Lytechinus pictus: one gene and its partner. The protein of the gene in region 1 purifies or fractionates together with the protein of each later gene. This does not show direct contact. Links are inferred from orthologs where the notes say so. Each region holds a gene or a part of one and is shown on either strand. Other genes may lie near its edges.

What was found. The genes of interacting proteins can lie anywhere in the genome.
Region 2: the proteins of tether containing UBX domain for GLUT4-like (region 1) and nuclear protein localization protein 4 homolog purify together in Homo sapiens (affinity purification with mass spectrometry; 3 studies listed by BioGRID and IntAct, with this or other methods). This does not show direct contact. The link is inferred for Lytechinus pictus from reciprocal best matches to the Homo sapiens genes ASPSCR1 and NPLOC4.

What each region holds. Positions count from the first base shown.
Region 1 is NC_087254.1:19,605,936-19,612,971, reverse strand, and holds the start of tether containing UBX domain for GLUT4-like, read left to right. Parts: upstream 1-4,030; 5' UTR 4,031-4,060; coding exon 4,061-4,141; intron 4,142-4,662; coding exon 4,663-4,718; intron 4,719-6,100; coding exon 6,101-6,322; intron 6,323-7,036. UniProt on the Homo sapiens protein: Tethering protein that sequesters GLUT4-containing vesicles in the cytoplasm in the absence of insulin. Modulates the amount of GLUT4 that is available at the cell surface. Enhances VCP methylation catalyzed by VCPKMT.
Region 2 is NC_087254.1:29,540,199-29,547,889, reverse strand, and holds the start of nuclear protein localization protein 4 homolog, read right to left. Parts: upstream 3,001-7,691; 5' UTR 2,875-3,000; coding exon 2,860-2,874; intron 1-2,859. UniProt on the Homo sapiens protein: The ternary complex containing UFD1, VCP and NPLOC4 binds ubiquitinated proteins and is necessary for the export of misfolded proteins from the ER to the cytoplasm, where they are degraded by the proteasome.

The sequences.
Region 1 (7,036 bases):
ATTTTGAAAAGCAGCTTAATGTGTGTGTTTGTGATGAAACTCAAACAAAATTATAGTTTTAGTTCATAAGTTATGAAAGTTCATCTTCGGCCAGACAATTGCCATTGATATTTTGTATTTAGAGATAAGTAAAAAGTCAAACTTGCTTTAATACTTGATGTAAGATAAGTCAGACACATCAAATAATCCTCTTATAGGCCAGAATTCACAAAGATTTGTTAACTTTTCTTAATCCATGAGATGTACAGGTTCTATGGTATAAATGCATTTGATCCAGCTCACTCGTACAATTTAAAAAGTCCAATGATTGCACTTGTTTCTGCAAAATGTTCTACAGGGGCCGCGGAACCGGGGGGGGGGGGGGGGCTTCAGCCCCCCACTTTTTTCCAAAACCGTGTCCAAAATGTAAAATTTACCATATGATTGTAATTTTCAGCATGGTCAGCCCCCCCACTTTGAAAACCGTTCCGCGGCACCTGGTACCATTATAGTTTTTGAATTCACAAGTCATCAGAATTCATTGAGATAACTTGTGTGCTATACTTTAAGGCAATAATACCTAACGAAGTATATTGTTAGTACACTGTAGAGATTGGACTTGTATGTTTCCTATGGTGCATGTAACTTGTTTTACTAAACCATGCAAAACACATGAATACGCATGGTAGTAAGAATGATTATGACCATTAAAAAAAAACCCAGTGCCAAACACATTAATTAGTGAAGGACTATCAATTTTGATAAATAGGTGACTAAAGATCGTGCTATGACTTTTTTATCACTCTAAGGGAGATACTAATGAGAGATTTCATAGGTCGTAATGTATTCTACAGTCACACCGACTTCAAAAGGACTAATGATATGCCATTTAAAGTAATTAGCTTTGATTGGTTTGAAGTCTAGGTGTGACTGTGATAAGCGGGTGTCAGGCTTACATTTTCAAACTAACAGAGTGGAAGATCAATATGAGAATCAACCCTTTATTTTATTCCATTTCATGACTTAATATATTGTGTGATCTTTTTCCACAGCAGTGGATGTATGTTTTAATCTGGAATCCTGGATTTTTTTCTGTGTTTTCGCCTGTTTTTTTAATATATTCATATGCGGTATAAACCTTATGTGTTTCATGGTGTTGATGTGATGCTTCAAATTTCCTTATCTATGGCACATGATAGAAAGAGTGGGGTGTTTAACACAAACAAAAATCAATATCAGTTCCCAATACGCACTTCTAATTGGTTTGAAATCAAGTTGTGTTTGATTTCTTGAGTTGTATTTGATTGCAACTCTTATTGCAATGTGCCCCAGATCCTATAAGGAAGTAGTCTAGATTGGACGTTGGTGTACGGAAGCTCTTTTTCCCAAAGCTAACATAGAGGGCCTCCCGACTCCCAATCCCATACCCAGTGCTAATCCCCTCATCTAACCTGGCACTGGGTTTCGAGTCTGGAGGCCCTCTATGTCAGCTTTTGGAAAGGGAGCTTCCATTCACCAATGCCCTATCAGGGGTCCGTTGCAGAAAGAGTTGCGTTTAAACGCAAGTAAAAAAATCAATCGCAAGTCCCATATGCGCGCTGTTGATTAGTTGAAAATCAAGTTGCGCATGATTTGTAGAGTTGCGCATGATTTGTAGAGTTGCGATTGATTGCAACTCTTTCTGCACTAATACGGAAGGTTTGAGACTTCAAATCATTATTTGTGATATAATGCATATATATTTTGAATATGTAAAATTGCTTAACTGAAATGGATGAAACGCTCATTATTATGAGCTGTGTATTTTTTCATATTTCTTTTTTTTTTTAATTGTGGTGATTATATGCGGTAATATGTATGTAACTTGGGAGTATGGTGATTTAATCATTTAATCATGAAATTTATTTCATAGTTAGAATATTGCAATCTTATTTTGAAAATGAATATAAGATTTTTGTGTAAATCAAGGTAAATTAAAAGTACTTTGTTAGACTTAATAAGTTTAGATGTAAACTAGCCATTAAAATTTTGTCACATTTGATAGGGGTTTCTATAGGGGTGAAATGTTTGACAGATATACCTTTGTAAGATATTGGTCATCTTTGAGTAAAATTGTATAGAAAACGTAGGAATTTACAGGATTCAAGAAGTGTTAGTTGTGTGTCCTTGGGATAAAGTTGATTTAAATTAAGTAAATAAGAATTAATCAAGTATAACAATCAAGTGTAACAATCAAATGTCAACAAAATTACGTAAGAAAGTGCTATGATTTTGAAGTTTACATTGTTTTGTGAAATTATGGTGGGCAAATGAGTAAGTTAATGATGTCATCAGCAGATCTTTATTTTGGTACATAATATTTTTGATATTTCATTTTCATAGATTTATGAGCTCCTCCTTGTTTTTGGCATAAGTAACTGTGTGGAAGCAATGAATTTACACACTGACGGGCCAAACCATGTCTTACCTAAAATGAAAAGTTTTTTTTTACATAATCGAGATTAACCTTTCTTTTACATTTGTACTACATTGATGTTCAGTGTTGTTATAGGACTCTTCAGATGGCGATCGATGCGATTGGCCTGAGTTGAAGTTGTTGCCATAGTTCCCAGAGTGACAGCCTTATTTTCTTGGAGCAGAAAAGTGAAATATTTATGTTTTCTTAGAGTAAATTACAAAGGTGGGCTTTTGGCACCAACACACCACTCATTTGGACAGTGTCCCTTTTTTTTTTGGGGGGGGGGCTCATAACGTAAGCTTCAAAATGCTAGCAAGTTATATTACTTTGTATTTTTTGTCTCATGTCAGTTACTTTTTAGTGTTTTACTTGTTTAATTCAACTCTTTAAATCATCTTGAACTCGGAGTGAAAAGTATACAGTACATTTATGTAATTTCGTTCAAGGTTTAATAAAGCCCATAATGATTTTGATGGATATTCTTAGGTATGGAGAGGGATTTTGGAGTAGTTATATTTCTTATTTATTTGTATTTAGAAAATACAAGTGTATCAGTAGTGACTCAAGTTTTTATTCATAATGCTTTCTTAATTGGTATAAAAAGGATACCCTGTATGAGCAATATTTGCTCAGTTTTTATGTTACATAAGCCATAGGAAGTTCAGAAATAAAGAAGTAAATTGTTCTTCATACAGGTATTTTGTTCAAGGTTTATTTATTTGATTAGTCTGTGTGACGACTGTTAAAATTATCCTTCAAAAAGATTTGCATAATCAATGAAGTTAAAAGAAATAAGTCAAGAGAGCAAGGCAGACAAATGGTATGTAAGAAAAAGATTAAAGGAATTTTATCTTGGGCTATTCATATTTTTTTAAATTGAGAATAAGTCCATATATCCTAAATTGCAAATAAATGCCATATATTAAAAATGTGTAAAATAATTATGACTGTATATATGACTGTTAACAAATACTAGTATTATACAGAAATGAGGATAAAGTGAGGTGGGAACTTAATCTGCTAAATTAATGGCATTTCATTCGCAAAATATGTGGTGCAATATGTTGCATTAAAAAGTATAACAATGCCACATGAACTGTCACACTCAGCTAAAAACAGATTGATTAATATTCTAGGTTTTCAAGATTTATTTTTAGTTTATCCAGCAAAGATGGGCCCCTCTGCATGCCCCCAGCTGCCACAACAATCTCTACATGAAGTTGTAAGTCTTGACTGCTTTGGGATTTTGCTATATTAATAGGCACAATATTTTACTCTATCTCTATTATACTCATATTTATTTGGAATCTGGATTGATTAAGCTGTAGGATGATAACAATAACACAAGTTTTTGGTAACTGCATGACAATGCTTCTTGAATAACCCCGCCCGGCCCCACCCCATCTACAAATGAATTTAATAACAGGCCATCAACTTTCAACAAAACCTGAATTTTACCCCGCTCCTTCCCAACGAAATGTAATATAATTGTAAATTGTGTGCCCGTCGGAGACGGTCGGACCCCCCCCCCCCCTTAATGGCTCAAGCGCTTGATATGATACAAGCGAAAAGTTGTTTTTGTTAAAAAGCTTCGAGAAAGACTACATGTAGTAAAGAGTGAAAATGGCATCCAACGTGAACGTCTTGTGTCCGAATGGACGACGACAAATTGTCAAAGTTTCTCCTAATACGAGAATCCTAGAGGTAAGTCTGATATTATTATTCAAGTGAGTAAAAAAATTGTTTGTGCAAAGGTGTTTGGTTTACTTATGAAATTTGAAAATTATTCATTTGAGCTGCGTGAGAAATTGCGCTGTGTCATCCATCGCATTGCCATTGGAGAGCAGCTTAGCGAACAGCTATGCTATTGCTAATTTGCCCGTCACCACCGGGCTAGTGTATATGAAGGTATATGAAGACTCGGTGATACTGATAGTGTGTGTGAAAGAGCCCTGCCGCCGCCCACACTGTCCGACTAACAGTTAGGCCTATGGCTAAGTTATGGCTATGCTATGGCACAATTTATGAAATAAGATCCATGTTAGATTCGAGGCAGCTAGCTTAGATTTAAATTATAGCAGTGATTCCAAGTTCTTTTCCATGAAAAAGAGAAACAAGATTGGCATTTAATCTGTTCAAATAAAAAAAAAAGGTTTGTGATGGCTGCAATAAAGCTTCTGTAATTATTTGTATAATATGTCATTGATATTGATTTTCATTTTCAGATCATCGAGACAGTGTGTCAGAAACAGAAGTTTAATGCAGATGATCACAATTTGAAGTAAGTCTTTCAGAGATAGGGAGGGAGTGAGCAAAGTCTTGAAAGTCATGGGCTATTTTGTCTAGTAGATGCATATCAAATATGAAATCTGTCTGTATTTGTGAATTGTATTGGTTAGTATAATGGTTGTCACTACTAGGGAATCCTGACAATTTATCTTTTTCATTTTTGGATATAGTATATGATGGGGGGACCTAAAGCTACGCACTTTGTTTACAAACGATAAAAACTATGCCAATTTTAATATTCTAACAAATCATCTTTCACAAATTTGTGTTAAATATTGTAAAGATTCATAACCAAAAAGAAAATATCACAAAACTCACTAATACGAAAATCCCGCCGTGTTTTCCGAACACCTCTTGATTTCGCCGCCCGATTAGAAGGGGTCCTAAAAGCTACGCACTCAATTTATCATGCAAAGAAAAAGTATTTCCTGTGCCTAGACTTCTAAATAATGTTCATATTCTTATAGGAAAATATGAAATCAAAGTGAATATAACTCCAAAATTCCAAACAGTTGCTGGTTTTCTCTGTATTTAGCGATTTATTGCAGCCTCTATAGAAAAAAATGAATAGGAATCGTTCGTCACACTGCAGTCACTAGCTCCACACAGAGTGCGCATTTTGCAATTGAAATTGCATGCGCATTGGAGTGGTGCGTAGCTTTAGGGCCCCCTACCATACTAGTAAGTATCTTTATCCTCACAAAGTTTTAAATTGTAAAGAATTCTAATTACCGGTATGTAACTATGTACAGTGGCACAGGTCTGAAAATAAAAGCATCTGTATTACTTTCTTTTATGAGGAGAGATAAATCCTCCTGTCCCTTTTAGTTGCACAGTAGATCAATCTCTTTGTGAAAAAGAATGTATTTTTATTTGGATTGATCTTAAAGTGCATTATAGTGTAATTGCTTGATTTATAAATGGTGATGCTCAGAAAATTTTTAAATATCATCTTTGAATGAGTTGTAAAATTGTTCATCATTCAATAAGATAAGTACCTGAAATTATTTTCACTCAAAAGTGAATATCTTGGAAAAAGAACCCTTTAAGAGCAATATTTCTAGCTTGCAGTTCTTGAAATAGGGAATGATGTGAATGCAAAAATCCAAGACAGACTTGATTTAGTTGTTTTCCTGATGATTACACATTGAATCTTTTGGACATTTGACATATGATGGATAATTTCATCATGGATCTAAGCTTATCAATAAAAGATCACAGGGGTTAGTTAGTAGCTTCGCTAATTCAGTCATATCTTTGGCAGAACAAAAATGGGCACCATAGTCGGGTAATCTTCATCATGAATTGACCACAAAGACAGGTTCCTCTCTGATATTCCAATGTTGATTGCTTTTATTTCACTCTGACTTGAAGACACCAGAGGACCGTCCTAGATGTCCAGGTTCCTTTCCGATATTCCAATGTACCCAACAATGCCAAGCTGGAGCTGGTTAAATCAGATGTCCCACGCAATCGGTCTGGCTCCACCACGGTGGCGTTGCAGTTGTTCACGGGTGAACGGCTTCAGCATAGCTTTGAGTCTTCATCCTCCCTCTGGGATATTCTACAGCACTGGGATGGTCAGAGCAGTGACAGGTGAGAGTAGAGGGAACATTCACAAAGTAATGAGTTTACTGAGATTAGAATGGAGATGGAGGTAAGCAAAGAGTTCCTTTGCGACAGCAACCCTAACCCCAATATATAGGCCTATATTTTTTTCTCCACTTTTGGTGGGTGTCGTAAAAGGAACTCTTCCTGGAGGGAATATTGGTTAGGGATTTCCTTTTTATGACCCTCTCCATGGCCTCTGATGATTTTGATTGGAGTAGCAGATTTCTCAACTATGCTGATAATGGAGGAAAGAATATGAATTTTTTATCATTCTGACATCTTGGTTTGAATAAGGTTTTCCTATTTCTCTTGTTATCTTTACTGCAAAATCTTACTGAAATATAATTTCTTTACTACTTTTTTAGTGAAATATTCTTTTTTTACAGTTAAATGCATTGCGAGATCTGGAGTAATAAGAATGTCTACCTAACACAGATTAAACTGCCGGAAACACATTAAAATGTCAATTGTTACCAATATCATGATAGATGAAAAGATATATATATCATGTACTCAATATTGTCCATACATTGAAGTGTCAATGTTTGAACAGTATTTTGTTTCCTCCACCACATCAAGCAGCTTTCATTGGTACCTATTGTTATGATTTTATCAATTTATGATCCTTCTGAATATAATATAAGCTTATCATTTAAGGCAAAACAAAGCTTCTCTTAAAGCAACATATGTGAAGCTATT
Region 2 (7,691 bases), about 9.9 Mb from region 1:
GGGTAGAGCACCAGAGTCCACTGACAGCTTAAACATCGCTGTAATGCCAGGAGCAAGTTCGGGTGCACATTCCTTTAAAATGATGTTAGGAATAAGGTCTGGACCAGCTGCTTTTGAGATGTTGATCTTGCCAAGTAGCTTTTCCACACCAGAGACAGAAATGTGCAGATCGTCAATCTTGCGTGCAGGCTTGGTAGTTCTTGTTTCAACTGGTGGGATGAAGGTGTCCAAGTTGAAGACCGATTTGAACTGTTGTAACAGCATCTGTGCCTTCAGTCTGCTATCATGGATCAGATTACCATCCTTCTTTAGTGCTGGGGTACCAGTTCTATCTCTCCTCTTCGAGGACACGTATCTCCAGAAGGGCTTAGGATTGTTTTCCTCCAAACCATGCATGACTGAAGATAGGATGAAATTCTCTTCAGCTACTTTGAAAGCCTGTTTGCAGTCCTTCTGGAAGTCTGTATACTTCTTCCATGCACTCTTCTTGGCTGCACCGTGGGTGGTTTTCTTGGTTTTCTTGTAAAGTCTCATTTTCTTCTTCACCATTCGTTTGAGGCTGTGTGAAAACCACGGGAGAGATTTCCTACCTCGCACTGTCTTGGAGGGAACATGTTCATCTAGGATCTGAAACAGTGATGTCTTGAAGTGAGTCCAAACTTCTTCGATTCCTACTTTACAGTCAGTTTTAGTGACGAGTTCAGTAGATAACACTGCAGCTCGCTGGTGAATTTCAGTCCAGTTAGCTTTCTGAAACATGTAACACTTCTTGTTGTTGTGTTTCACAATGTGGGGTAGGATCTCAAAGTCCGTTACTACCATGGCATGGTCGCTAATCCCCGGCGTGCTGTTTGAACTCTTCACCAATGATGGGTTGTTAGTGAAGACGAGGTCTAGCAGATTGTCTTGCCTTGTAGGTTGCTCATGTATTTGATGGAGGCCAAAGTCCAAAGTGATGTCAATAAGAGCTTGTTGTACTTCTCTCTCAGCGGCGCCTGGTCGAGTGCTGAGGTGCTCCCAATCTATGTCTGGACAATTAAAGTCCCCAGTCAAAATAACATGATGGTCTCTGAGATTTTCCATGGTGCGCTCCAACGAGTTGCGGAGTTGGTTTAGGTGTTTCATGTCACGGTGAGGCATATAGAAGGAGCCACAATAGAGTTCCCTTTCACCTTTCAGTTTGATCTTATTCCAAACCACTTCACAGTCCGTTGAGAGCTCTGGTTTATTCTCTGTCGTGATGTTTCTTGAGACTCCAATAAAGACGCCACCCCCGGTGGATTCTCTATCATTCCTGGAGAATTGATGTGAGGAAGGGAAAACTTCTCAATTTTAAAGCAGCTATAACTTTCTTATTGCTTGTCTGATTTCTTTCAAACTTTCACCATTCTGTTTAATTTATTTTTTTCCTTCCCAACACAACATTTTATGGCCAAGGCTGGATTCCTCTTTAAGTTTATTTTCCCCGTTTTGGTGCATTTCAGGCCGGAATGGAATAATAATCTTTAGTTTGGTACAGTTCTTTTTATACATTTTTATGAAATAAAGACAAAAAAATCGATGAGCCCCGTCGGGGGGATTTTGCATTGTTAACCCCCTAATGGTGGCTGCACGGTAGTGAGCCGTCTGTGTACGAGGAGAATTTTTTTTTAAATGTTTTTTATTTTTTATTTTTTTTAAAACTCCTTGAAACAGACGGCTGCCAGCTGTCTAACGACTTCTATGGTTTGATTTTTCTGTGCACGGCGGCATGTAATGGGGAAAGAGTTCCATATGCACCCCCCACCAAAAATAACAAAAGATTGTTGAGACTTCCGGTTCGTTCACTTCAGATTTTTCTATCATTTTTTTACTGTTGCTTACCTTAGTTGGGACTCGAACTCACCTTGTTTGATCTGCAGTCAAGACCTTTCCCGCTATGCTAGCGAGAAGCGCTGATACCGGAAAGGGTATTTTTACGATTATCAGCCGATAGTTCGACTAGTCTTGACTCGCAGACCCTTTACTGACTAAATAAACCGATGTCTATGGACAATTACACGCACAAGGTCTCGCTCGAAATTTGACGGAATAAAGCCATATTTAATTGGTATGTATTTCCACTTCCCCATCATATATGTTCGATATTAGGGCTAGATATATTATTCTGAACCTTCTCCATGTTTTTATTTTCAATTTTAGTGGGGGGTGCATATGGAACTCTTAGACTTAGTCTTACCTGTAATGGACCCTTGAGTGACTCTCAACCAACAGGCAACACCAACATGGCAACAATCACCCACTACTATTGTGCAATGTATGGACTGACTTATCGCACTGCACTACCGTCCATAGTACCAATATGCACTGGGCCTGACTCAGAATTCGCTCTCCTGGGCCCCGTCTTACAAAGAGTTACGATTGATACAATCAATCATAACTTATGGAAATCCATCAGTGCCATAATTTTCTCTACAGTAGGCCCTACAGGAAATTTGCAAAATGTCTTGTTAAATGTTAGAACTTGAAGTTAGAACACACCAAATTGTCAAGAAATCAATGAATTTATGGATATACATTCATATCTAGATTTTTTTTTGGAACAATCATGCATTTTATATGGTGATTTTGCTGGCTGTCCATAGTTGCGATTGATCAGATCAATCGTAACTCTTACTAAAGTAAAAGACGGGGCCTTGATCTCACTGCTCAGAGTCAGACAGCAACTGAGTGAGAGGTGTTGTGAAATCTCCATTCAGATTCAGTGAGTAAGACACTGCACAGTCACTCAGACCAGTCTCAGTCATTCACATCGAGTAACCTTCAAAATCATGTTTTGATACTTTGATAAAATATTTCGTATTCTTAAACAATACTTACAATGGTCCCCGACATGTTAGGTGATATAATAAAGAATAGCCTACTCAGGAAATGTTAATTTAATCGTCTAAATGGATACACTGTTGTCAGAAAGCGTTAGAACGTAATTCTATGACTTGCAGATTAATTCTACATTTGAACGTAGAGGGCGACAAGCCAGGTCAAAAATGGGATCGGAGGGGTCTTTTGTAGAGGGGGATATACAAATAGCGATGAAAAATCTCGGGGAAAAAAAGTGGAAAAGCCTGATTGAGAATTAATCGATATATGAAGAAAATATAAAGGTAAATGACCTTGGTAGAATAGGAAAATAAGGAAAAACAGAATAAGAAGAAATCGGACAAGGAATAAGATTTATAGCTGTTTAAAAACCATACAATTTTATTGGCAATTTAGTGTTATGTGAAGATAAGACATATCTCACATATTCAATAATATGTCAATACATAATCAATACTTAATCAATACTTCTACAGGAAGTATAACATTAAATCATATGTTTACCAACTCCAACTTTCTTAAGAAAGTATTACTCATTCTTCTTCTAGCTAAACTTCTGACGCAAACACATTTTATGGGTTTTCTTATTCACTATACATTGATATGTTCTCCCTAAAAGGTCAACTACCTCAATTCGGAGTAAAGTTATGATGTACAGATTGTTTTGGTCAAGCGTCCAAGGTTGACCAACACCACTTTGGTTGTAAATGGTCTTGACCAGACCAATATAAAAGGGGTTCACTTCTGAACCCAGATCAGATAATAGAGATTGGTTAGAGAATAGATTATAGAGTTTTACAGAATAGAGACTGGAGTTTAGAGCTACAGAAAAGTATACTACATCAGTTTGCAGAGTCTATTTTATATACTTCAGAGTATACTACAGTCCCGGACTACAGTCAGCATCAGACTTACTCATGTATTTATCATCATCATCATCATCATCATCATCATCATCAAGTTATCATCTTTAATAAATTCATATGAACTCTACATCTTGCATTGATTCGTCTCATTTAAGTCTCGATCCAGCGACAACACAACATTAGTGAACAGATTGCAATTATTATACTTTCCCATTTTATCAGGAAATTCAGTGCATTTGGGTCACTCCGGGGATTCAGGCGAATTACGGTGCCCCTGACGGCGCTGACCATGCACTGGCCCATGAGAAAAGACGTTTATCCCTCGATCAAATAAAAAAATAAAAATGAAATAATGTCATAAGATCCTCTGAAGGTTCGTGAACTAAGAATTAAGCCCGTTATAAAAAATGACTTGATATGACATTTTGTTAACGGATATTTACCTAGATATATAATCGAGTAGATGGTTTGGAAATCTATGGGAATTACGTGCAATTAGAACAATAGAATTTCAAAACAAAACAAAAACACGGGAAGAAAATCCTTTTATAATCAATCGGGCGCGTTATACAAAGATAATCAGAGTTAACGAGTACAAAAGTCTGGATCCATTATTTTAGCTGCTGATTGATTCTATTATGATTTGGGAAGAGGCTTTCAAGCTTGAGCTCCATCCCCCTGTCCCCCGGTCTATCCCTCCCCATACTTTCATCGAAAGAAGGGTAGGGAGGATAATTGAAAATATTTCAAACAAAATTCAGTTCCAAGTTCAAATCAAACTAAAAATTTCGTTCAAGCTCCGCGCTCGCATTATACCTGTTCAGTGAGATAACAATCTTCTTATTTAGAGGATATATGGGTTCAAAATACATAAACACAAATTAATCTGCCCGTGATTACAGTTTTCTGTATTTTTTTCTGCGAGATACACGTCCTGTTCCTGACTACTCGTTCTCGTACTCTTTGATCTTTAATTATTAAGGGGCCGGTAAATACGTTTGTTCAGTTTTCAGATCATCGGAATATCAAAAGTGATCAGGTCTCTCTTCACACACATATTGATAATATAACTTTCCTGTTCATAAAAAGATAAACACAACAAAGTGCTCGAATGTTCTGTTTTCAGGTGGGAAAATAAAAAAAAATCACCTCGTGCTTCGCGCTGACTTCATTTTTATTGTATCTTGTTCATGCGTCACTGCAAACAATCCTTATCAGGTCCGGTCAGTAGGCCTATGTTAAAAATTTCAGCTCGATCGCGGTTCTCGCTCGCATCAATCGTTCATTTATATAGATACATATTTTATTCCTGCGTACAAAAATTTCTCGAAATTTTGGCAATTTCTGATAGTGAAATATCATTAAATTTGAGTTCGCGGATCGCTCAAACATTATTTATTCTGACATTATCTTGTTAGTAGTTGGGACGTATCCCCCTCCAATCCCTCCAACACCGACAAAAATCAGCTTTTAGCGGCCGATGGGGGAAAACTAGCTGTGGATGAAAATATTCCCCCGGCCCCTCTATTGGTGAAAGAAAGCCGATCCGCCCCCTGATACTTTTAAGGTGAGGTTATATGGGCCCATGCAGGGTGGAAAGGGCGGTGGGGATGTTCTCAATTTCTATCAACCTGATGACGGTCTGAAGTAAGTCAGATAAGTTTATTCTGATATTTTCTTTCCATACACTCTCCATCGCTCGATCAGCAATTGTTTTTTTTATATTACTATTATTTGATTTTATTTATATATCATTTATTTTTATTTTTATTTATTTTTTGCTAACAAGTGCGAGGGGGGGGGGTATTACGGTGGTGTCGGAAGGCCCGACCTCTCAGTCCCATACTGAGTCGCGAAGCCGCTTATAATTTGTACACTTATTTATTTGAACTTTTGTTACTTTTTAAGTTGATGTTAAGATAATTGGGCCATATATCCTGCACCCCTCATATGAAATTCAAAACTATCAGGACTCAGGCGAAATATATATATGTATATATATATTTTTAAAGGCTGGTTTTGAAAGACTTGTCAATGGTCAATCGCGGGGCCAAACGTACTAAGGTATGTTTTTTTTCAAAGCTTTTTTTTAAAGACTATAGCCAAACGTGTTTAGGGTATTTTTTTCCCCCAGGCCTTTTCCTCCTCGTTTCTGAAAAGTGTCAGTTCGGGTTCTTCCCGATTGTAAGCAACGACCCTGGGAACGGGCATGGGAAACGGGAAAACGCGGTTACTGTTATCAAGTGAGACAAAACTTGTTTAAGGGTCATATTCTGGCGACAACTTGTTTGGGGGCTAAATTGTGTAAAGGCCCGCGAAAAACTTGTTTAGGTGGTTATTTTGCACACAGAGAAAAAAAATCGTTTAGGGGGGTGTTTGGAGATAATTTGGTCACGCATGAGTATATACAGCAATTAGTACATCGGGATGGTATCAGGACAACTACCCCCCGGACAACTACCCCCCGGACAATTACCCCCCGAGGACAATTACCCCCGGACAATTACCCCCCGGACAATTACCCCCCGGACAAATACCCCCTGAGGACAACTACCCCCCGAGGACAATTACCCCCCGGACAATTACCCCCCGGACAACTACCCCCGGACAATTACCCCCGGACAATTACCCCCCCGGACAACTACCCCCCGGACAACTACCCCTCGGACAACTACCCCCGGACAACTACCCCCCGGACAAAGGGAGTGCACAGAGTCATACGTCGGCCGTACGTTTGACTTAAGAAGTACTCAAGGCATTCTCGAGTATCTTGGAATCAAACGTACGCCGTAAGAAGCTGTAAAATTGAGCTCCATCCATAGGCGGATCCAGGGGGCCGAGGGACCCGGCCCCCCCCCCCTATTGGCAGGGCAAAAAAATGAAGAAAAAAAAGGGGGAAAGAAAGAAAAAAAGAAAAAGAAGGGGAAAGAAAGGAGGAAAAATGAGAGGTAAAATAAGAGGAGGAAGACGAGTGAAAAAAAAAGGTCAGGGGATGACTTGGAAAATGATTAAAAAATACAAATTTTTAAATTTACAAATTGATTTTTCAAGTGCTCTGTAAAATGTCCGTTTTATGGTCTAAATATTAATATTTTCAGCTCACGCTGCTCGGTCGCATTATTTTATTTGCATAGGCCTACTTCTTTATAAATTCTTACAAACCGTCCTTAAAATGCACCTTAAACGAATTGTATACTATCATGATTGCCAATTTGTATAGAAAAAACACTGTATTTGATTATGTCATATTGTTTACAATTTAGTAAATTTGGTACTTAATTTCCTTCTTTAATGTTTAATTGCTTTCACCCAAGCATAATACACACAAAAACATCTTGTAATTTACCAGGTGTTCTTGTGTGTATTATCTTTGCATAAAGTTTTTTAGCTTGTATTAAGTTATAAAGCCACATCTTAACCTGGAATGTGCACCATTTGTTTCATAATTCTTAGCTTCTTGTTAGTTGCTGTTTTAAAATAACATATTTATAGGTCTACTTGACAGTGTTAGTGCTGATAGTTGCGTTATCGACTTTCAATATTTCTACCTATGAATGTGTCTTTTTTACGTTTTATCTATTTGCCTGATTTCTTTCCTGAAATTAAACCCAAAATAAATATTTGAAAAAATCAGATCAGTTGGAATCAGAGATATTCAGCATTTGTTATTATTATGACTAATCGTGTTCAATTGTTCTATGAAAACTTAGAATGAGGGCCAGTTTACAAATTTTCTGATGTATATATGCATAGCAAAACGGGAGGTTTCGGGTGCGAGCCCCCCCCCCCCCCATTTTTCATGATGCAGAAGGCGCCGCTAAACCAAAAAAAAAAGGAAAAAAAGAAGTGAGAGAACAGGAGAAAGAGCAATATAAAAGAGAAAGAAAAAGTTATTAACGTAAGGTAAAGTAGAAAATATTTCGGAAACCTGTGCCACAGACCAAAACTTACAATGGGTCCCTCTTA